Linked DNA regions of Lonchura striata. The protein of the gene in region 2 purifies or fractionates together with the protein of the main gene of each other region. This does not show direct contact. Links are inferred from orthologs where the notes say so. Each region holds a gene or a part of one and is shown on either strand. Other genes may lie near its edges.

Region 1 (7,774 bases), on a different chromosome or scaffold from region 2:
ATCAGACTTGAAAAGTAACACAACTTCTTTACATTCAGGGAGGTTGTTTTTCCAGTAGTAAAGTAACTCCCCGATGCCAAGAATTACAACTGAATTTTGGCACAGAACAGGACACACCACACTGACTTACTTTTCAGAACTTGCACACAGGCAGTGACCAGAAGCAACTCAGTCTGAGCCCAGAGATCTGACAGGAATATGACCCAAAGGGAGTTGTCATAGATAAAAAAATCTGCAAGAGCAGTTTCCGTGCACTGAGAAACTGGGGAAGCAGGGGGATAATTTTGTTTAAGGACAGGGACCTAATCAGTAACAGTGTCCAGCTGCTTGCATGTGACCTGGACTGTGCAGGAAAACTGTGGGACAGCAGGGAGTTCTGCTGTGGAAAAGTGGGCCTGCAAGTGGTCATCCAAAAGCTGCCTCTGCTGCAGTCAGAAAGGATTTATTCACCTTTCTGTAAGCAGGGGGAAAGGACAAGAAGCCAAGCACGGAAGGGTGCAGGAAATAAACATTCTCATCAGCCTAACTCTTATTTTAATTTTTGCTAGCACTTCATTTGAACACAGTTCTGTTCAGCTGGCTGCTTCAAAACAATTCCATTTGGGAAATTAAATCACTTCCCAAAAGATGAGGACCTTGGGATTCCATCACAGAAATAAATAATACTGGGAACATGAAGTAGAAGAGGTCCAGAGCACTCGTAATCATCAGTTTGCAGGAGCAAGTAGTCTGGGAGAGAGCAGCTGTGGAGAAACTACAAGATGAAGAAAGGAAAAGGCAACTATAGTACTTGCTCACTGTTATTGATGGAAAATAACGCTGTCTTAGAACAAACTGCTACATGTTGGGATGAGGAGAGGACTGCTGGCTTTACAGAAATCAGTACAAAATCTGTGACTTACTTGAGTTCTTTCATGGCAATGAGCAAGGGGTCTGTCTCTCCTTCCAGCTCCACCATCACAGGGGCACACATCCTAAGAAAAACATCAACAGCCACTTGAGCAAAAACACAGAGAACGAAGAGTTAAACACCTGCTTACCTGTGTCACCTCTACAACAGCCAATGAAGTAGGGGGGTGGGACACTATCCTGGCAAAACTGATTTGCTCTGTTGTGCCCTTGAAGGAGAAAATTCCCCCAGATGGTTACAGACCAAACTTTTACTTCAGTGCTCTTCTTCTCCCATCCCTAGGGGTCTGCCAACCAGCTCAAGCTCAGTGACTGGTCAAATCCACACTCTCCTAGTCGCCCTCTGCTGTATACTTAAACATGTAGAAAAGAATGGTTCTAAAATTAATCCAATTAAAAGGTTGCAATTGCTGTAAAATGAGCAGACCTTCTACAGCTCCAACACATCGTTTACATTCTGACCTGCTCACAGCTCCCAGGCTTCGATCAGGAGAAGAGAAGGGCTGGATTTACAAGGCATTTTACCTCTTGGAAGAAAAAACTCAGCATTTTGCAAAGGATTGTGACTACACCCATGACCTGGACAGTGGTGGCAGAGAAAGCTCATGTTATGTGTGGGTGAGGCCATGGGAGCTGCTGCTTGTCTGGGTTCTGAAAGTAGAAGTTGCTGGTGAAGCAGAACCAAGTGCCAGAGTGGATTAAAGGCCTGGCACAGCCTTTATCTCCCCCCATTCTTCTTGCCTCTCACCAACTGAAAGAACATGCATAACACAGCTTCACAGGCTGTGCAAAGAACAGCTTGCCTGCCTGTGAGCTTCTAAATGATGCACAAGAGAAGCCTCATTGTGAAGGTGGATATAAACAAGATGAAACTCAAACCCTTGCCAATGTCTAACATTCTCTCTCAGAAGGTAGTTTCCCAAAAAGCACACCATTTTAAATATTTATTATTAAAACAAATCTAAAAAGTCAAATGAATTAAGAGCAGCCAGCCTTGACAGCACTTAAAGTAAATTTTAAATGTTATTGTCTATTATAAATAAGGCCTTTTTATTGCAAATACTTCAATAACCTTACAGCTACCCACAATGCAACTGCATTTGGAACAAATTTCAGGTTGGTTTCTTCACTCCCAATTCCTACAGCCCTGAGGTATCAACTGAAGTTATTTTGAAGCATCTCTATCTCAAACATTACCTTTCACAAACCAGTCACGAACTCTCAAGTCCATGCTGACTCTCTGAAGAAAGACAGAAACCAGAACTGTCTTGTCCCATTCCCTAGTAATTTTGCCCGTGATCTAGGAAAACTCATTGTGGCTACTGAATGCTCCCTCTTTGTGCACGCGTAGTACAGTTTCAGGCAAGGAGAGACACACAGACTTCAGGTGCAATAAAGAGTAAGCTTCAGTTTGACCAGAGGGTGACATGCAAGCTCGGCAGTCATGCAAAGGATTCAGAAGACCTGGGAATTTTTAAGGGAAGAGGAAAGCTCTAATCAGTGTAAAAGGAGGCACAGCTGCAGCAGTGCTGGGGACACAGCAGGCAATACTCACGCTATCTGCAGGGCACGAGTGCCCAGGACTCTGGCTCGCTCGTACTTGGTCATGTAGGGGGTCGTGATCCGCTTCTGGTTCGCCTGCTGCCGTTCTCCCGAGGGCAGAATCTCCACGTTCTCCTGTCCCTCCTGGGAGAAACAGACCGCGCCGCTGCTCAGCCGCACCCGCCACCGAGGCCCTGAGGTGTGGGGGGAGCCGCTGAGGCCACCCCAGCCACAGCAGCCGCGCGGCCCTGCGAGCGGCACCCACCTCCTCCGCGTTCTCCAGGTCCTCCAGGCCCTCGTCCTCCTCCACATCGTCGAAGTCATCCCCGTCAAAGCTGCGGGAGAGACACACGCGTCGCACTTGTGGCCGGGCCGCCGCCACCCCGTTCCCTCCCTCCCTCCCTCCCTCCCTCCCTCCCTGCGCCCGCCGCCCCGCTCGCACTTGTCCTCGTTGTCGGACATGTTTCCCGCCGGGCGCTCCGGACCGGCGCTCCCGGGAGCAGCTTCCGGCCGCCGCCGTGACGCTGCCGGAAGTCATCGCGGGCCGTTGCCCTGGCGACCGCCGCCGCTGCCCCGTGCCGCGCGGGCGCCGCCCGTGGCGATGGAGGCCGCAGGGTGCCCGGGCCGCGGCGGGCTCTCGGCGGCGGGCAGGCCGGCCCGCTACAGCACAGGCACCCGGGAGTTAGTGAAAGGTAACGGCGGAGCCCGTCGCCGGTGTTGCCGCCCCGGCTGGAGTCTCCTAAACCCGCATCTTCCCTTTCGGATTGGGGTTGTGAGAGGAGGTGACCCTAGGGCGGGTTCTCCAGCCCGGCTCTGCTGCCTCTTCATCGACGCGTTGTGTTTTTCAGGGATGATGGAGGAGTTGCAGATGACGCATTCCCAGAAGCGATACCTGATGGCCTATGTGAAACGTGAGTGAGGCGCCCTGGCTCTCCTGCCAGTTGCTGTGCTGTGGTGTGGAGCTTTTGCATCTCGGCATTCGCCCAGAGCCTGCTCGGATGGGCAAGTGCTTTAAACCAGCAGCACAGCGGCTGCTGGCACATGGGGACAAGCGGGAGAGCTGTCCCCACGGGTCGCCCAGGAAACAAGGCGTAACGGTGTGACTTGAACCGCAGTCTGTCGTGCCCAGTGACCAGGGTGAGACATCTGGGGCACTGGGGTCTTCGTTTGTGATGCTGCTATAGATCAACAGGTAGATCTGCTGGTAATGGCCCAGAGCCATCCATTCAGAGTCCCTCCTGTCTGATTTGCTGTTATTTTTGGTTCGTCCCCCAGGCGGAGATGCCCTGCCCCTTCAGAGATTCTCCCCATCCAGCAAACAGCCAGTAACTGTTTCCTCCCCAGCAGCCTGTCAGCCACACAGGCTTCCAGCAAGACCGCTTCTCCGACCTGCCGGGGTCTGCCAGGCAGGGGATGCCTACACCCGGGAGAAATTCAAGCCACAGCCCACACGTAAGTCAGCGATCACTGCTAATAAATACATGGTGATGCCTAGAGCCTCTCTTCTCCTTCTGTCCCTCCCCTGCCTCAATCTCAGCAGTGGCAGTGCATCTGAATTGCTGTATCACATCCTCATGCTCTCAGTCTGCAAAGATGTTTCAGAAATGGATCTCTGAGGGAACATCTCCTGTAAGTGCTCGCTGACTTCTGCCTGCCAGCTGGGGGGTGACAGGCGATAGCGACCTGCACAGTCCCTGAGTAAGGATGGGGCACTACGTGATTTTTTAGCACATAAAGGTGAACCACACCTCTGATGTTGGTTTGGTGGGCGCTGTACACCCATGTGGTGCTTGCACACAGTCCAGGGATGGACTGACATTAATGAAACACTTCCTCTGGCACAGTTAGCAGGGAAGCAGTGTGGTCAGGCTCCTCCATGAGGAGACGTGCTGATAATAATGCTTTTTTCCTTTGGCATTCTTAGGAGACTTGGAAAAGGAGAAGAGAAGACTTCAGAACATTTTAGCATCAGGGAAGGATGACGTGGAGGAGAAGGTGGAGCAGGTGTTCATTCAGAAAAAGGAAGAGGAGATAGCTGAGGCTGACCGGTTTGAAGAATGTACGTTGTCATGTCCCCAGGAGAGAGGCAGGAAGCCTGGGAAGCCAGCTCCCTCCTAGGGCTGGGCTGGCAGGCTGTGTTGCCAGTAACCTGAAGCATGTTACAGGAGGAGCCACAAAGGCCAGTTCCCAAGAGAAAGGACTCGCTGCTGTGACACTCTGATCCAGCCATCCCCACAGAGCTTATACTGATGAGGTTTGCTGGCAGATGGGCTGCCCACACAAAATGCACCCTGCTGGCAGGGGAATAGCCTAGGGATGTGTAGGGATACATGGGAAACAAGCTCAGGTACTGTTGGTCCTTTTCCCAGCAAGTATGACGCAACATAGACCAGGTCACTTGATAGCCTGACCACAGTTTGGGCCATTCCACTCCAGGATCACAGCAGTTATACTAGCAAAGCTTGAATATCAAGCAGAATTTGAGGCAGTGAAAGACTCTGGCCTGCAGTGTATACTGGGATAGCAAAACACTGCCTAATACCTTTCTGTGCTTGAATCTGTGCTTGAAAGTGTGTGTACAGCCCTGGCAGTCCTTTGCCAGCCAGGGCAGCACAAAGATGGGCATTGCTAGAGCAGTGTATACAAAAGGGATACTCCCTGCTGCAGGGAGCTAGTGCAGCTGATTTTACACATGCTTGGTAGTCTCCAACACTTGTCACAAGTTCTGTCACAGGTTCTGTCTCCATCCACTGACTGGTTAAATTGCCCACAAGCAAAAGAGAATTGTCTACATAAAGAAAATTAGAAAACTGCTGTTCCTGGGAGTCAGGGAGTGGTAAGAAGTTGGGCAGAGGGGACATATCCATTATGTAAGGGACTGCTGAGGTATTGTGATGACATGTTGGGCAAGGTGAGTGTTACAGCAGATATCACCCTGCCTTGATGGGGCTGCTGTTCAAGCAGAACTTTAGGAAATTGGGGGTTCAGATCTAGACAGAAATGTGTTTTCTTGCTTTTTGGCTGCATTCTGTTTCCACAGTTCTTTCTCTCTATCCACCAGTGAAGAATGAAATTCAAGAGAGGAGGGAATTCCTGGAAGAGATGGAAGCTCTAGGACAGGGCAAGAAGTATCAAGGGATCATCCTCACTGAAATCTCACAGGTATGTGAGGGCCTTGGCTGAACAGTGCATGAAGGGAATCCCATGTGTCAGAGATCATAAAGCAGAGTCTTCTCTGATATCTGAGCAGGGAAGGGGGCAAAGAGCTGCTTCCCTTCATGGCACAGCTCGGGCATGAATCTGGGGAATGGTGGATAGCGGTTTTCCAGCTTTCTTTCCATCTGTGCATGTAACTTAATCAGGGAAACAGTTTTTATTCTTGAGATTGGCAAGAGAAGAAAAAAAAAGCTGCTGGCTTTCTCCCTACTCAGCTCTCCCCCTTTCTACTTTGCAGAAATTGAATGAGATGAAGAGCATTGACAAGAAGAGAAGTGAGGAAATGAGAAATATCATGACAAAAGCCTTCCCTGTTGGGAACAAATCCAATCTCCAAGACTAGGCCAAGGGCAAAACACAGGTGCAATTTGTTCCCACCTATTCTTCCCAGACTCTGGGAATCAGAGGCTAGTCTGTGTCTGTTTCCAAAGAGGGGGCAGCACAATCTGTTGCCAGAAACTAGAAGGCAGGACCAATTTGTACATACACAGTGACAGAAGTTGTAAAATCCTTCCCACACACTGGATCCCTTCTTGCTCCATAATATTAAAGACATGAAAACACACAGCAACAGCTCCCAAAACATGACAAAGCAGAGCCTTCTTTTTCCTCTGCAGTGCCTCAGCAATCCATCCATAGAAATGTCATTCCTTCCCATCTCCCCAGAAGTGGAGTTTTCTCGTGACAGCGTGATGGTAACACACACTGACACCATACCTGTAACTGGCTTGCTCCTGGCCCTGTGATGCCAGGAATGTCTCTGGAGGAAGTGCAGCTGTACAGCCTTGTGTACTCACAAGCCCTTGGCATTGCTGCAGGTCACTGTGACTGTGACCTGCGGCATCAGCAAACCTCTGGTGGCAGCCCACTGGGCAGGAACTCAGGAACACAGCTGTGCCAAGCAGGGACAGGGAATTTCACCCCAGTGGCTGCTGCTCTTTGCTGTGGACTTGCTGCGATTTTTTAGTTCCTGAAAGCATGGTATGCAGAATAGCCACTCTATTCCCATAGAGACTGGAAATGGCTGTTTGCTCAACCACAAATACTCACACCTCTGTCCTCCAGCAGGCTGAAGCATTATGTCCCACTTTTCCTGTGGAAATCCCAGCATAACGTCCAGTTTCCAATTTCCTTAAGATCTCATCCTCTGCTTCTTAGCAATACTCAGCCACTTTCCAAAGCCAGGCAGCATGCCCTGGCCCTGGGACAGCACGAGTGCACAAAAGAATGAGAAACCTAATCCACAATCATTTTTTAAATCCAATGTTTCTTTTATTTCTGTTCAGGTGAATGGAAGTCATGGGGTTAGTACAGTATAATTTACAAACCAAATTTCTGACTGGGCACAGGGCCAAGGGGTGTCAGGCTACAGCAATCCCAATGGCCTTTGGCAACAGTGATGTGACAGTAGGCTCTAAAGCAGATTTGTTTGTCCTTGGAGAAGAGTTGTATTTTGGGATCTCCCCTCTCCTACCACTGTTCCTCATCAGCCTGCTTGGTATAGCAAGGATGGCATTACCAGCACAGGGCTGAGCTGGCCAGCTCCCAGCCATGGGGGCCATGCTGGGATTGAGGAGGGGCTCGGGTCCCTCTGGTTTTGGGAAATGAGGATCCCTCTCCAGAATGCTACACCAGCCACCTTGCAAGGCACTGCTCCGAGAGTATTTTGGCTAAAGCCAGTTGGGTTTTTAGAAGAGACTGCAGCAGATGGCTCAGGGCTGGTTATGTCTAATTTGCTAATGAGAAGGCATGATGAACAACTGACCAACCAAACACCCATGAAACTCTAATTCAGACTGATACAATGACTCAATAAATAACTCATCATCTTGGAAGAGAAGGCAGGAGACAGAAAATGGAAGGAAGAAGGGATGGTTGGAAGAACACATTCCCTCCTCTGATGTACACACACACACACACATGACAAATAAAATAAGGGGTTTAAAGTTTTAGGATAGGTTTGAATTCATTTAGTAAAGGAGGTGTAAAAAACAATCCAGCCACATCTGCACACTTCTAAAGTATACACAGATGAAGCTGGGTAAAGGTCAGTTGTGACCGTGCCTCTCTCCCCTGCCGCTCAAGGGTGGCACAGGTGAGCAGGGAC
Region 2 (7,389 bases):
GGATATTTCTATGGATATTCAGGATATTTATATGAAATTCTGATATATTTATACGAACTTTTGGGATATCTCAGCCATTTCCATGGATATTTGGGATATTTCCATGGATCCCCTTCCACTCCTCCCTTCTCCAACCCAACCAGTTCCACTCCCCACAACCTCCCCCCCACCAAAAACGCTCCAGCCCCCCAAAACCATCCCCATCCCCCCTTTTTTAACCCCCCTGATGTCCACTCACTCCTCCTTGATCTTCCTGCTGATGATGTTGGGGGCAAAGGTTTTCTGTGGGCAGAGAGGAAAAAAAAATCACCCCAAAATCCACCCTGGGCTTTGTCACCACCCCAAACCCTGGCTGGGGATGGGGAGTGACCCCAATTTTGGGGGGAAAAGGGGGGTCTCACCTTTTTGACGCCGCCCAGGGTGAGGTCGCGGGAGCGGATGGAGGGCAGGCGGCCGGGGCCGAGTTGGGGGGCGGCGCTGGGGCGCCGGCCCAGCACCCCCCGGAGCCCCGGGCGGGCGCTGCCCGGCGAGCCCGAGCTGCCAGAGCCACCCTCGGCCATCCTGCGGGCAGGGCGAGGGTTCAGGGCTGGGGGCTGCACCCCGAAATGGGCTCGGTTCTGCTCAAATCCCAGGAATGAACCCCGAAATGGGCTCGGTTTGTGACAGACCCCGAAATGGGCTCGGTTTGTGACAGACCCCAAACTGGGCTTGGTTTGTGACAGACCCCAAAGTGGGCTCGGTTTGTGACAGACCCCGAAATGGGCTCGGTTTGTGACAGACCCCAAAATGGGCTTGGTTTGTGACAGACCCCAAAGTGGGCTCGGTTTTTAACAGACCCCGAAATGGGCTCGGTTTGTGACAGACCCCAAACAGGGCTCAGTTCTACACAAATCCCAATAACCAACCCCAAAATGGGCTCGGTTTGGCTCAAATCCCAGTAACAGACCCCAAACTGGGCTCAGTTCTACCCAAATGCCAATAATGGATCCTAAATTGGGCTCAGTCCTACATAAACCCCAGTAACAGACCCCAAACAGGGCTCAGTTCTACACAAATCCCAATAACCAACCCCAAAGTGGGCTCAGTTCTGCTCAAATCCCAGTAATGAACCCCAAAATGGGCTCGGTTTGTAACAGACCCCAAACTGGGCTCGGTTTGTGACAGACCCCAAACTGGGCTCGGTTCTGCTCAAATCCCAGGAACGGAACCCAAACTGGGCTCAGTCCCACATAAACCCCAATAATGGACCTCAAACTGGGCTCAGTTCTACACAAATCTCAATAATGAACCCCAAACTGGGCTTGGTTCTGCTCAGATTCCAGGAACGGAACCCAAACTGGGCTCAGCCCTACATAAAACCCAATAATGAACCCCAAATATGGCTCAGTTCTGCTCAAATCCCAATAATGAACCCCAAACTGGGCTCCGTTCTGCACAAACCCCAATAATGGATCCTAAATTGGGCTCAGTTCTGCTCAAACCCCAATAACCAACCCCAAACTGGGCTCAGTTCTATACAAACCTCAATAATGAACCCCAAACTGGGCTCAATTCTACATAAACCCCAGTAACAGACCCCAAACAGGGCTCAGTTCTACACAAATCCCAATAACCAACCCCAAAGTGGGCTCAGTTCTACATAAACCCCAGTAACAGACCCCAAACAGGGCTCAGTTCTACACAAATCCCAATAACCAACCCCAAAGTGGGCTCAGTTCTGCTCAAATCCCAATAATGAACCCCGAAATGGGCTCAGTCCTATGCAAACCCCACAAATGACCCCCCTGCACCCCCAAATAGGGTCCACGTGTAGCCCCCTCCCCAGGGGTCTCAGCACCCCACACACCACACACACACCCCTTATCCCCCATACACCCCAAACAGGACCCAAACAGGACCCCTTATCCCCCCCCACACCCCAAACAGGACCCCTTGCACCTCTTACACCCCAAACAGGACCCCTTGTCCCCTCCCCAGGGGTCTCAGCCGCCCATATACCCCAAAAAGGACCTCTTGTCCCCCACACACCCCAAACAGGACCCCTTGCACCCCATACACCACAAACAGGACCCCTTGTCCCCCTCCCTGGGGGTCTCAGCCCCCCATAAACCCCAAACAGGACCCCTTGTCCCCCACACACCCCAAACAGGACCCAAACAGGACCCCCTTGCACCCCACACACCCCAAACAGGACCCAAACAGGACCCCTTGTCCCCCATACACCCCAAAAAGGACCCAAACAGGACCCCTTGTCCCCCTCACACCCCAAACAGGACCCAAACAGGAGCCCCTGTCCCCTATAGACCCCAAACAGGACCCCTTGTCCCCATCACACCCCAAACAGGACCCAAACAGGAGCCCCTGTCCCCTATAGACCCCAAACAGGACCCCTTGCACCCCTTACACACCGAACAGGACCCCTTATCCCCCACACACCCCAAACAGGACCCCTTGTCCCCATCACACCCCAAACAGGACCCAAACAGGACCCCCTGTCCCCTATAGACCCCAAACAGGACCCCTTGCACCCCTTACACCCCGAACAGAACCCCTTATCCCCCACACACCCCAAACAGGACCCAAACAGGACCCTTTGCACCCCTTACACCCCAAACAGGACCCCTTGTCCCCTATACACCCCAAACAGGACCCCTGTTCCCCCCTCCCCGGGGCTCCCAGCCCCCCCGTTCCCCCCAGCACCCCCTCACGCCCCTCCCCGGGGGTTCGGACCCCCATGAGCCACCCCCGGCCCCCCAAAACCCCAAAACCCCCTGGCAGCGCCCCCCGCCCCTCACGGGCCTCACCCCCCTGCGCCCCCTGCCCCCTCCGCGTCCCCCTCTCCCCGCCATTCCCACCCCCTCGCGCACCCCCAAAGCGGACCCACCCTCCCCCCGCCCCCCAGGGGGACCCCTCCGTGCTCGCTGCCCCTCCTCGCACCCCTCAGGACCCCCGGGACCCCCCAAAATCCTCCCCCGGCCCCGCCACGCCGCCCCTCACCCTGCCCGGGCAGCCACGGGCTCGCCGCCCCCACTGCGCATGCGTCACTCACGCCGCGCTCTTCCTGAGGCGACGCTGCCGCCGCCATCTTTGCTGAGGGCACGGCGGGTTTGGCAACGAGCTGCCATCTTTGTGGTTGGCAATGCCCGAGCCGGTGTGAAGGCGGCGGCGCCATCTTTGTGACGGGCAGCGCCCTGCTCTCCAAATGGGCAGCGGGGGCAGCGCTGTGGGGGGACATTTTTGGGGGGTCACTCAGCCTTTCATTTAACACCCTCACGGGATTCCTGCAGTGCGACCACCCCCTCAGGGTCCTCTGCAGCCCCACAGCCGGCACCCCCACAGAGGGGGTTCATGCGTGAGCACCCCCTCGCAGAAATTTGGGGGGCAATGAGGATTTTGGGGTGTTCTCCCACCCTCCCACCCGAAAAAAAGCTTTTCCCCTGCAAGAAGGGTGTTTACTACGTGCAAAACAAAAAGTCTGTCCGTCCGTCCGCCCCCCGTGGGCTCTGCACCCCATTCTCGCGGGGGTCCTGTGTGGGTACCAGCATTCCCACGCTCCTCATCCATCCCATTTTTGGGGCCGGGAGGGGGTGTCCCCATTGTCCCGCAAGCGGCACAACCGGGACAACCCCTCCCCCCCCGACCCCAAAAATGGGGGGGGGGAACAGGCAGAACCTGCCCACCACCCACCCCCAATCTGCACCCACATCCCACTCTGCCTCCATCACCTGACGCCGCACGCATCCCTCCATGCCATTGGCAGAACCGGGAGGTTTTTCCTTCCTCCCCCTTCTCTCCCAGCTCCTTGGATATCTATTTTTCCCCCATTTTTTTATTTAATTTTTTTTTTTCCCTCTCCTCTCCCTCCTCTGGAGGGTGTTTGCTATTTCCGAGCTGGCTGGGAGGATCCCAGTCGCATCAGCCGCAGGCAGCGACGCGGCACCGCCGGGTACCACCTCGATCCCTCCGGCATCCTCCGTCCTTCCCGCTTGGATCAGCCCCGCCGGGGCTCTCTGTCCTGCCCTGCCGCTCCACCGGCACCCCCGCTCCTCCCGGCAGCCCCCCGCCACGGCCAGGTAAGGCCCTCACCGGCACCGCTGCCACCGGAGCGGCCGCCGAACCCCGCTGGCAGCGGGGCGACATCCCGCTGGCACCGCCGAGGGATGCTCGGAGGGCAGGGGGGGACACGGGGGGCGCTGAGGGCTGGCAGGGGACACGAGGCACCGGGGACACGGTGACACGGTCCAGCTGGCACGATCCCGGTGCAGAATTCCTGCGCCACCGCCGGCCACGGGAGCGGGGCAGCGAGGTGGCACCGTGTCCCCAGAGCGGTGACCTTCTGCCGTGCCCAAGGGCTTTGGCGTGGGGGGGTGACAGCGGTTTTGGGGTGCAGGGGGCTGCGCAGATGGGGGGGACACGTGGCCGTGGGTGGCCGTGGGTGCCGAGTGACGGGGACACGCACGGCTGAGCCCGGCGTGGGTGGCCGTGGGCACACGGAGGGGGTGGGTGGGGGGGTGGTGGCACCTTGGCAGCCCCGCGGTGCCACCGCTGCCCCCGCACAAACCCGGGCTGAAGATTTGGGGGGGTCGGGTCACGCTTCGCTTCCAGCCTCCCGTCCCCGTGCCGCGAATGTGACTCCGTGTCCCCCCTCCACGAGCATCGCCCACCCCCCCCACCTCCCCCGCCCCCAAAAAGCGCCTTCCTGGTGGGTGCAGGGAAACTGAGGCACGGGCCGGGGCAAAGGCGGATCCAGCTTTTCCAGTGCCTGCGTCCAACCCTCCCCTCTCGCAGCAACTCCCTCGGCTCTCCCCTTGTTTTTCTTTCCCCACCCGGTGTTGAGCAAACCCCGAAACGCCCGCTGGCGTCGCGCCGGGGCCCCGCGGCACCCGGGGGAGCGGCCGGGGCCCCCGCACCCGACCGGGCTTGTTGCCGGCGTCCCGCCGCCTGCTCCTGCCTGCGCTGCCTATTCCTGGCTCCCGGCCGCTTTTCCAGCCCGCTGCCATCTGCTCCGCCGCGGGCGGCCTTGGCAGAGGCGGCGTGGGCAGCGAGAGGGGGCTCGGCACCCGCCAGACCCCCGCGCTGTGCCCGCAGGAGCTCAGCCCCTCCGGCCATGGAGCTGCTGTCCACCCCCAAAAACATCGAGATCAACAACATCACCTGCGATTCCTTCCGCATCTCCTGGGCTATGGAGAAGGGGGACCTGGAGAGGGTCACCCACTACTTCATCGACCTCAACAAGAAGGAGAACAAGAATTCCAACAAGTTCAAGCACCGGGTGAGCCGGGCGAGGACGCGGGACCCCCTGCCCGGGGAGAGGAGACGCGGTTGGGAGGGAGGAACTGGCTCTCAGCCCTCTCTAGTGCCGAATTTGGGTCATTCCCCTCACGGGACACGCCGGCGGAGGAGGCTGGGATGGGGATCGGGGGGTGACGGACCGCGCGGAGCCCCCGCGGAGGAGCGGAGCCGCTCCTGCTCCCCCTCCCCGTGCTGCGAGTCACTAATTCGGGCCGTTTTTAGCAGCGCCGTTGCCACGGTGATGCTATTTAATGTTTAACATTGTTTTTTTTTTTTTTCCTCTCCTCCCCAATAATAAGGGGTGGGGGGGTGGGGGGGTGGGATATTTTTTTCCCCTCTATCTCCCGACTTCAGCATCCGCCGTTGCCACAGAAACGGCTCTGCACTGCGGAGCTGCTCCGTGGCCTATTGACACCGCGAGATGCCACCGGGAGCGGGGGCACCCCGAGACCACCCCCACCCGCTCCCCGAGACCACCCCCACCTCGGGGACCCCCTGTCCCCATCACGGCAGGGAGCGGGGGCACCCCGAGACCACCCCCACCCCCTCCCCGAGACCACCCCCACCTCGGGGACCCCGTGTCCCCATCGCCACCGGGAGCGGGGGCACCCCAAGACCACCCCCACCCCCTCCCCGAGACCACCCCCACCTCGGGGACCCCCTGTCCCCATCACGGCAGGGAGCGGGGGCACCCCGAGACCACCCCCACCCGCTCCCCGAGACCACCCCCACCTCGGGGACCCCCTGTCCCCATCGCCACCGGGATCAGGGGCACCCCGAGACCACCCCCACCTCGGGGACCCCCTGTCCCCATCACGGCAGGGAGCGGGGGCACCCCAAGACCACCCCCACCCCCTCCCCGAGACCACCCCCACCTCGGGGACCCCGTGTCCCCATCGCCACCGGGATCAGGGGCACCCCAAGACCACCCCCACCCCCTCCCCGAGACCACCCCCACCCCCTCCCCGAGACCACCCCCACCTCGGGGACCCTGTGTCCCCATTGCAGCAGGGAGTGGGGACACCCCGAGACCACCCCCACCCGCACCCCGAGACCACCCCCACCTGCACCCCGAGACCACCCCCACCCGCACCCCGAGACCACCCCCACCCGCACCCCGAGACCACCCCCACCTGCACCCCGAGACCACCCCCACCTGCACCCCGAGACCACCCCCAGCTCGGGGACCCCGTGTCCCCATCGCAGAAGGGAGCTCACCACGGTGTTTTTGGGGGGTCTCCGTGGATATTTTGGAGTGACTCCGTGGATATTTTGGGAGGGTCTCCGTGGATATTTTGGGGGGATATCCATGGATATTTTGAGGGGGTCTCCGTGGATATTTTGGGGCGGTCTCCGTGGATATCTGGGGGGGAATCCGTCGATATTTTGGGGGGGGTATCCATGGATTTTTTGGGGAGATATCCGTGGATATTTGGGGGGACTCCGTGGATATTTTGGGAGGGACTCCGTGGATATTTAGGGGGATATCCGTGGATATTTTGGGGGGTCTCCGTAGATATTTTTGGGGGGTCTCTGTGGATGTTTTGGGGGTGCGGTACCCGGCAGCGTCCCCGCGGAGCGGGGTGGCGGTGCGGGCGGTGGGCTGCTGTCCCGCCTGACCGTCGCCGCTCGGAACAGGATGTCCCCACCAAGCTGGTGGCCAAGGCGGTGCCGCTGCCCATGACGGTGCGGGGCCACTGGTTCCTGAGCCCCCGCACCGAGTACAGCGTGGCCGTGCAGACGGCGGTCAAGCAGAGCGACGGCGAGTACCTGGTGTCCGGCTGGAGCGAGACCGTGGAGTTCTGCACCGGGGGTGAGCGGGACCGAGCCGGGAGCGACTCTGGGGGCGTCCCCGGGAGCCCGGAGGGAGGATGGGGGCGATCCCAGGAGGAGGATGGGGGCGATCCCAGGAGGAGAATGGGGGCGATCCCAGGAGGAGGATGGGGGCGATGCTGGAAGCCGGGAGGGAGGACGGGATTGATGCTCCTGGAGTCGGGAACTGGGCCGGGGGATGGGGACGGTCCCGGGAGCTGGGAGGAGGATGGAGGTGATGCTGGGAGCCGGGAGGATGAGGAGGACAGGGGAAAAGCCCAGAGC
Region 3 (7,488 bases), on a different chromosome or scaffold from region 2:
TGAGGACTTCAGCTCTGTCATGAGGAGAGCCACAAGATGAAGCAAGAGAAGTATACTTTTCACTACTTTCATAGAAACCCACTCAAATTCACCTAACACAAAATACTGAATACAGGAAAAAAAAACCCTCAACAATTTAGAATAAAATTAAAAATATTTATGTAATGATGTTTCAGTCTCTGAAGCTTGCTTTTACAGTGATGGTGGAATGCAATGCACTACCAAATGTAACACACATGTACTCAAAATTACATGCAGCTATTTTCCAAGACAAAAAAACTCAACAAGACAGATGCAAATATTAATACCTCATGAGGTGATACAGGTCGTGTCACATTGAAGCTTTCTTCCACATCTGGAGTACCCACATAGATATTGAGGTACCTGTAATACAGTTTCAAAATGAGCAATGAGGCAAATATTTTTCAAAGAATCTGAAGGAAGCAAAATTTTACATATACTGAAAAATTAAATTATTTTGATGAACACAGTTTGACAATTTGACAATAATGACCAATGATTCTTCCTAAAGTAACTCACTGTATTTGAGTTGTGGTCAAATTAGTTCAAATTTAGCCTGCATGTGCAGTAAACCTTTAAATCTTCCCATATTTCATTGCATAAAGTAGGAGATAAGTCATGAAAAACACCTTCTTGATTTATACCTACAGAAGTGCTTATAAACAAACCCCTGAGACAGTACTCATGCTGCTACTGATATGGAAATCATCTCATGCTTACTTCAGATACCACATTGGGTCGGCATCACTTGTCACTTTTTCATTTGCCTTCATGATTTTCTTTATCTGGAGGAGAAAAAGAACAAAATGGAACCATGGCCTTTTCTGAGTACTAAGAGCCACTCTCCCCCACCCAGGAAAGCCTACCTCAACATTGATGAAATAGTTGAATGAGTCTATGTGCTGCTTCACCAGTCCTTTCACCTGAAAAATAATGCACGCAGCAAATAAAATCAGCTTCAGTAACATTAATCACATAAGGCAGAAATTAAGATATAAGCCTTTATAACTGGGTTTGGATAACTGTGCTAAATTCTTTCAGCTGACAAACTTCTGGGAAGTGGCTGGATGCTCACTCTGGTTCTCCACTACATTTTCAGGTTTACACTGGAACTGTCATATAAAGAGCATGGATAGCATCTCTGAGAGCCAGTAAAACAGGAAAAATAATCTGGAAACATTACATATATACACTATGGACTGAGAATAACCACACCAAAATGCAAACCTCTAGGAGGATATCTCCACAAAATAATCTTTAAATTAATCAAGAAAACAATCTATGGAAGAAGTCTACTGATAACTGCAAGGAACTAAAACAAAAGGCAAAATCCACAGAAAAGTGAGGACAGGTATTCTGGGAAATAGTAAGAGCCAGAAGAAAGGAATGTGAAGTTAGAAAGGAGATGAAATAGTCACACCATGAAATGAGTGTGTAGCACTAACCTTCAGAAATGCTGGAAGAAGTCTCCATTTTTCCTGAAAACAAAAACAGTTTGAGACATCTTTCCAAGGACTAGCCAAATATCTAACATGCCTGAGCCTCTGTCTACATGTTTTATTCCTATTGTTGTTTTTTGAACGGTAACATTGTTTAAAATCAGATCCATTTAGGAAAAAACCAAGAAACAACTGTCTAAAGCCAACAGAGGTGGATAAAAATTACCTGGATCATCTCAGTAAACCATACAAGCAGTATTTGGGATGCAATTGCACACGGCCTTTCCTGAGAGTAACTTCTGTGAAAATATAGTTTTCTGAGAAAACTCCTTAACACCATGTCCTCATTTAAGACCAACTAATGTTTTTCTGGTTTTGTTCTGTTAACACTGTAAATTATATTTGTAAAAAGGGAAGATTTCCTACAACATTTGCTTTACAAAATACATGCAAGAACCTCAGTCCTGGGAGCAGCTGTAACACTTACCAGGACCCTAAATCCTACAGAGATTTAGCAAAAGTACTGACAAGTGCTAAGTGTATCGAAGTTCCTACAAACTTTCTCCCATCTCTAATCATTAATGAGCATAGGGAACATCTCTATGTCAGCCCCATGTTTTCCCCACCACGGCAGTGCAAAAACTTGCATATATCTTTGGCTAGAGACAAAATCATTTATTTAGGAGGAGTGTTCCCAGTCCTCATATGCTTCTCCATATACTACCATTTTAAAATACTACAAAATTAATTAAACCAAAAACACCTGTAGAAAGTTGTTAGCTTTCTTCTACCCACAGAAATGTTGATGGTGCTCTTGGCTTTCAGCCTTCACTGCTACTGTTTGTTAATCTACTAATCTTGCTTGTGATCCCAATTTAACATCTAATAGTGGCAAAGCTAATGCAGTAAAAAGAGACGTACAGAATGGTGTGGCTTATACCACTGGTCCCTTGTGGCTGATATGCAGTAGCGTTTACAGTCTGGAAAGATGAAGAGTGCTTGATTTTTTATAATTTAAATGCTATGTCTAAAAAAAAGGGGTTGAATCTGTTAAACAGTAATGCAATTAAACTGATGACCTAAGGATGAGACTAATGGTTTTAATTTTAAGTAAATATTTCAAGGCCAGGCTGGAAGGAGAAGGGTGCAGCGGAAGGTGTCCGTGCCATGGCAGGGGGATGGAAGGACACGAGCTGTGAGGTCCCTGCCACCCCGCGGGACACAGCCCGGGCAGACGGGGCCCGGCTTCACGAGGGGCTGCCCAGGGACAGCTCGGACCAAGCAAACCCCCACCAAACACCCACACACACCCAGCGGCGCAGCACGGGCAGCGGCCGCTCCACGTGTGCGCCGCCACAAGACTCCTTCCCCCCCAGCCCGGCTCGGCTCAGCCCGGCCACGCTCCGGGAGAGCCCGAGGCGAGCCCGGCCGCTTGCCCCGCTGACCTCCACTGTGTTGACCGGGGCCGCCGCCTGCTCCGGGGTGAGCGCACCGAGCCCCAGCGCCTCCATGGCCACCCGCGCGCCGCGGCGCTGCGGCGCAGCGCGTCCCCCGCGCGCCGGCGCCGCCCCGAAGGTTCCGGCCCCGCGCTGCCCGGGCACCTCCGAGCGCTGAGCGCGCCCAGCCCCCGGCAGCCGCTGCTCCCTCTGCCCGCGGCCCGCCCCTCACAGTGCCCGGCAGCCGCTCCTCCCTCTGCCCGCGGCCCGCCCCTCAGCCCCCGGCAGCCGCTCCTCCCTCTGCCCGCGGCCCGCCCCTCACAGTGCCCGGCAGCCGCTGCTCCCTCTGCCCGCGGCCCGCCCCTCACAGCCCCCGGCAGCCGCTCCTCCCTCTGCCCGCGGCCCGCCCCTCACGGTGCCCGGCAGCCGCTGCTCCCTCTGCCCGCGGCCCGCCCCTCACGGTGCCCGGCAGCCGCTCCTCCCTCTGCCCGCGGCCCGCCCCTCACGGTGCCCGGCAGCCGCTGCTCCCTCTGCCCGCGGCCCGCCCCTCACGGTGCCCGGCAGCCGCTCCTCCCTCTGCCCGCGGCCCGCCCCTCACGGTGCCCCGCGGCCCGCCCCGCTGGGCCACTGCAGAGCTGGCAGCGCCCCGAGGTCTGCCCTGAATCCCCGCCGGAAGGCGGCGGGGACATGGAGCAGTCGGGCTTTAAATGGCTTTCCTGTATTTTTTCGCATGTAAAGCAACGCGGGGAAACAGCTTTTAGCGTTGTTGTTATTATTGACTGCTGTAGCTGAATCACCTACAAACCTGCTCGTTCTCTTGTACAAGGCTCGGTGCTTAGAGACACCAAAATCGCAGTCAAATGGGGGGCTACTCATCTGCCCCAGTTCAAGATGAAACAAGAAGCACTAGTGATCTCTGCACATTCCTGTGGCAGTAAGGTTTTGAGCTACATATATATATATAAATATAATAATTGGCAAGATCTAAAAGCAGAGTGTGAAATCAGTGCATACAGACATCTATCTGCTGTGGCTCGGGTTCCTCATGAGTAACACTGACAGGGTTGGGTCTGAGCTCCACCCATCCTGGACACTAAGGCCCCTACCCTGAAGAGGAGTAACATTTCAGACTCCTTCCATTTGGTCTCCTGCCTAAAGGAACAGTCAGTGGAGAATTTGTTTCATACGTGGCAATCCATGGTTAATCCATGGAAAGCCTCTGTCGGGCACAGGGAGAAGCTTGGAGAAGTTCTCAGAGAAGCCAGCCCTGCAGTCCACTGCTCCTCCAACTCTGCCATGCAAACCCAATACTTCCTTCATCCAAGTTGTCAGATTTAAGCAGACAACTGTCTTCAATATTATTTGTACAGCTGGGTTAAACTCAGTGCTCTGCCAAAGGAGCTGCTTCTGAGAAGTAACAGAAAAACAGTCACAACAGAATAGTGAAGTCATTTATCTTTGGCATTCAACAATTTGTTGCATTTAATAATGTTCGTATAAATGACTTTTCACCACTGCTAGTATCACAAACAAAATTTAATGCATACAAATCCTCAAAACTTATTTTTTAATAAAGCTGCTACAGAATGGCATCTTGTTTCACAAGGACAACTTCTGAGTAGAGGCAAGTGCATTTCAGCCACAGTAGCATAAACAGCATGCAACACGTGACATTAAACAGATGCAATGTCCCTGTTGGAAACATTAAATTAAAACACATTAAACAATCACTTGAAACACAGGCCATGCTATAAAATGCCCTTTGCAAGTCACTTTAATCACCAAACCCCTCCAAAAAATGCTATGTTTTGAGTATTTACTGGTAAAAACTATTATGACAGTTTTCCCAGCTCATTAAAGAGCTAAACTTTGTGTTTATTTGTACAATAGAATGGATATAAAACACTATAATTAAAAGTTCATAATCATATTAACACCTTCAAATGTTCATAAAATCCTCCTTTGGCTGAAGTTCAAAATCATGTAGGTAACTTCTAATATTGTAGCAAATCACTAAGATTCATTCCCTCTTCCTGCTTTTGAAATGCATTCTTCTCTTAATTATTTTGAATTGCCTACCAAAATTTCATATTTATCTGAGCAAGCCTGGCTTACCTAGTGGCACAGTTATGATAGTCTAAGAGTTCCTTTTTTCTAGGTTTTCCAGGAAACAGTTCCCTTTAAAATATGTATTCATGTTTATTTTGTGCAATATTTTCACAAGGGGTAGAACAGAAGTGCACTAGAGAACTTTCTCTAAAAAGGCATTTTGAAGAAAGTTTTCCTTAACATTTACTTGTGACCAAAGTCCTTGGACACTGAAGAACTGAATAGAAGTAATTTCCTTTGCTAGAAATGGACTACAAAACCACAGTGCTAATAATGCCCAGGATTTTTTAGACCTTTATAATAGACACTGTAATGTACATAAACAATTTGTGTGACACATTACACTTTTACAGGTTATTTTTGTCTCTTCATAAAAATAGATTGTAATATAAAACATTAAAAACAAGCTCTAACTTGTACCACACTGAGGTTTTCTATATATGACATCTTAAAATGAGTATTATATGGTAATATAGTAAAATATCATTTTCAAGTAAATTATTCAATTTCATAGACAAGAACATGTCTATAATATGAATTCCAGCACTATCTGATAATCCCAGTAATCTGAAAGATGCAAGATAAAGTCTGTGTAAACTTAAAGAAGTTCCCTTCCACCTTTCTCCATTTCAATTCTATTCGTTTTCTGTATGCAAGATTCCCAATGCCTTAAGTGGGCACTAAGTATTGGGGCCCAGTCCAAAGGAATTGGAGGGAAACAGGAGCATTTCTCACACACTCCATAAAAAAGTGAATCTAATAATATTTTCAAAAATGACTCATTACTCAACTTCTTGCTTTCAGGCCTAAGAGTATCTTGTGAAAAATTTACATTCTATTGGATAAGGGCATGAAAGGGGCAGCTCTTCTGTGGTACACTGTAAGGTCAGGGTTAAGTGCTTTTGGGGATAAAGGTTAGGAAGACCTAACTTAAAAATACTGAACACCCATCTATTAAGATCAATGATCAATACATACACATATTAAAGATCTGTATGACCTCCACTGAATAAACAAGATGCTTATAAACACTTTATATACAGAAATTTACTCCACCCCCCCACCATCATGTTTCTCAGGTGTTTATCATTAATACCAATTAGAGTTGAGAAGTTCTGAATTATTCCTACTTGAAGTGGTGAATGCTGCTTCTGTAACTGCAATCCTGCAAACAGCTTGTAACACTGGCTTTCCTTAATGTAACAGAGGCAAAATTCTGGGTCCAGTAATTGCAGGAGGACCTCAACTTTGCCTAGTATGAACCTAGGATTGGTTACTAAAGCAGTTATGCTATACTGTCTTCTTCAAAGTATTCTCAGAAACATAATTGATGTCCGAGATGTTACTCTACAAAAATACAATGTAAGCATAGTACATTTTATCTACAGTTGTTTTGTAATTTCCTAATATGCATTGCTATATGTAAATATATTTGAGTTGAAAAATAACATTGTTTTGATGGTGGCAAAAAATCAAGTACATTGCCAGATCTTTCCTACTGCAAGTCATAATAAATGCTTGCTATGGAAATTAATAATTCACTGGCTATTACAAGTGACAATCCATTAAACAAACAATTTTCTATTAAAATATATATATGACCTTGACATTAATTTCTTTACAGTGAATTTCAGAAACTATCTGTATACATTTTACAAGACCTTTCCCCATCAACAGTCACTGGAGTAGGCTGTTCTTAGAGATCTGTGACCTCCCCACTGTCTTGGAAGATTAAAAAAAGGGTACATTTTTTAATTGCTAGATGTTTTGGCTTCTGTCTTCTCCATTGCTGCCTCAGGAAAAAGCAGTTTTCTAAGTATGTTTGCATAGAATGGTCCATACACTTTTTTATTGAAGTTTACAATGCTTGCATACTGAGATCCCAGAAACTCTATCTCTGTCTGAATCACAGAAAGGCCTCCTGGCATAGTAGGCATACACTTCTGAAAACTTGGAAGAGCAAGCAAGCTTCTCATGAAGAGCTGGATTCGTTTGTCTGAAATGGAATATAAAGTATGCTCAGAACAAATGTCACTTTGTAAGTACCCTGCACATCAGCACAGCAAAAAATCCAACAATGTAATGAACAACTCTTTCCCAAGATTGTTTTGGGGTGGGAAACAATACTGTAAGCTTAAGTTTAGCTACTGCAAGGTGGACACAGCATAAACCTACTGCAACAAGTTACATTAATTAATATGAAGTAGACTCAAAGGAAGGAAAAAAACTCAGAAGGTTTAAACCCAGAATGGATAGAAAGAAGACTAAACAATACTCATTTTATCTAAATTCTTCTCCAAAATACTAGGCTGCCAAGGCGTGTCTCTACATGCACTTATACAATTATTTCTTGATGTGACTAACCACACTCTGCAGCATACCAAGAACACCATCTCTAAGTAAACACCACAACCTTACTCTTAGTTGAGCCAGTGTTCTACTGCAGTAGGAAAATAGTTTTAGAAAATAATTAGACAGCTGAT

What was found. The genes of interacting proteins can lie anywhere in the genome.
Region 1: the proteins of POLR3D (region 2) and POLR2F purify together in Homo sapiens (affinity purification with mass spectrometry; 5 studies listed by BioGRID and IntAct, with this or other methods). This does not show direct contact. The link is inferred for Lonchura striata from reciprocal best matches to the Homo sapiens genes POLR3D and POLR2F.
Region 3: the proteins of POLR3D (region 2) and POLR3B purify together in Homo sapiens (affinity purification with mass spectrometry; 8 studies listed by BioGRID and IntAct, counting the BioPlex papers as one, with this or other methods). This does not show direct contact. The link is inferred for Lonchura striata from reciprocal best matches to the Homo sapiens genes POLR3D and POLR3B.

What each region holds. Positions count from the first base shown.
Region 1 is NC_134607.1:23,577,838-23,585,611, reverse strand, and holds the start of POLR2F (DNA-directed RNA polymerases I, II, and III subunit RPABC2), read right to left. Parts: upstream 3,009-7,774; 5' UTR 2,914-3,008; coding exon 2,894-2,913; intron 2,787-2,893; coding exon 2,717-2,786; intron 2,596-2,716; coding exon 2,465-2,595; intron 975-2,464; coding exon 903-974; intron 1-902. Other genes in the region: C5H22orf23 (UPF0193 protein EVG1), read left to right, coding at 3,053-3,143, 3,300-3,362, 3,727-3,903, 4,376-4,510, 5,513-5,613, 5,906-6,010. UniProt on the Homo sapiens protein: DNA-dependent RNA polymerase catalyzes the transcription of DNA into RNA using the four ribonucleoside triphosphates as substrates.
Region 2 is NC_134634.1:3,550,326-3,557,714, forward strand, and holds the start of POLR3D (DNA-directed RNA polymerase III subunit RPC4), read right to left. Parts: upstream 3,008-7,389; 5' UTR 2,998-3,007; intron 562-2,997; 5' UTR 561-561; coding exon 402-560; intron 283-401; coding exon 239-282; intron 1-238. Other genes in the region: PHYHIP (phytanoyl-CoA hydroxylase-interacting protein), read left to right, coding at 5,108-5,272, 6,931-7,105. UniProt on the Homo sapiens protein: DNA-dependent RNA polymerase catalyzes the transcription of DNA into RNA using the four ribonucleoside triphosphates as substrates.
Region 3 is NC_134607.1:20,708,846-20,716,333, reverse strand, and holds the start of POLR3B (DNA-directed RNA polymerase III subunit RPC2), read right to left. Parts: upstream 3,009-7,488; 5' UTR 2,972-3,008; coding exon 2,906-2,971; intron 2,409-2,905; exon of another isoform or gene 2,382-2,408; intron 1,500-2,381; coding exon 1,467-1,499; intron 945-1,466; coding exon 888-944; intron 807-887; coding exon 742-806; intron 385-741; coding exon 309-384; intron 1-308. Other genes in the region: TCP11L2 (T-complex protein 11-like protein 2), read right to left, coding at 6,757-7,001. UniProt on the Homo sapiens protein: Catalytic core component of RNA polymerase III (Pol III), a DNA-dependent RNA polymerase which synthesizes small non-coding RNAs using the four ribonucleoside triphosphates as substrates.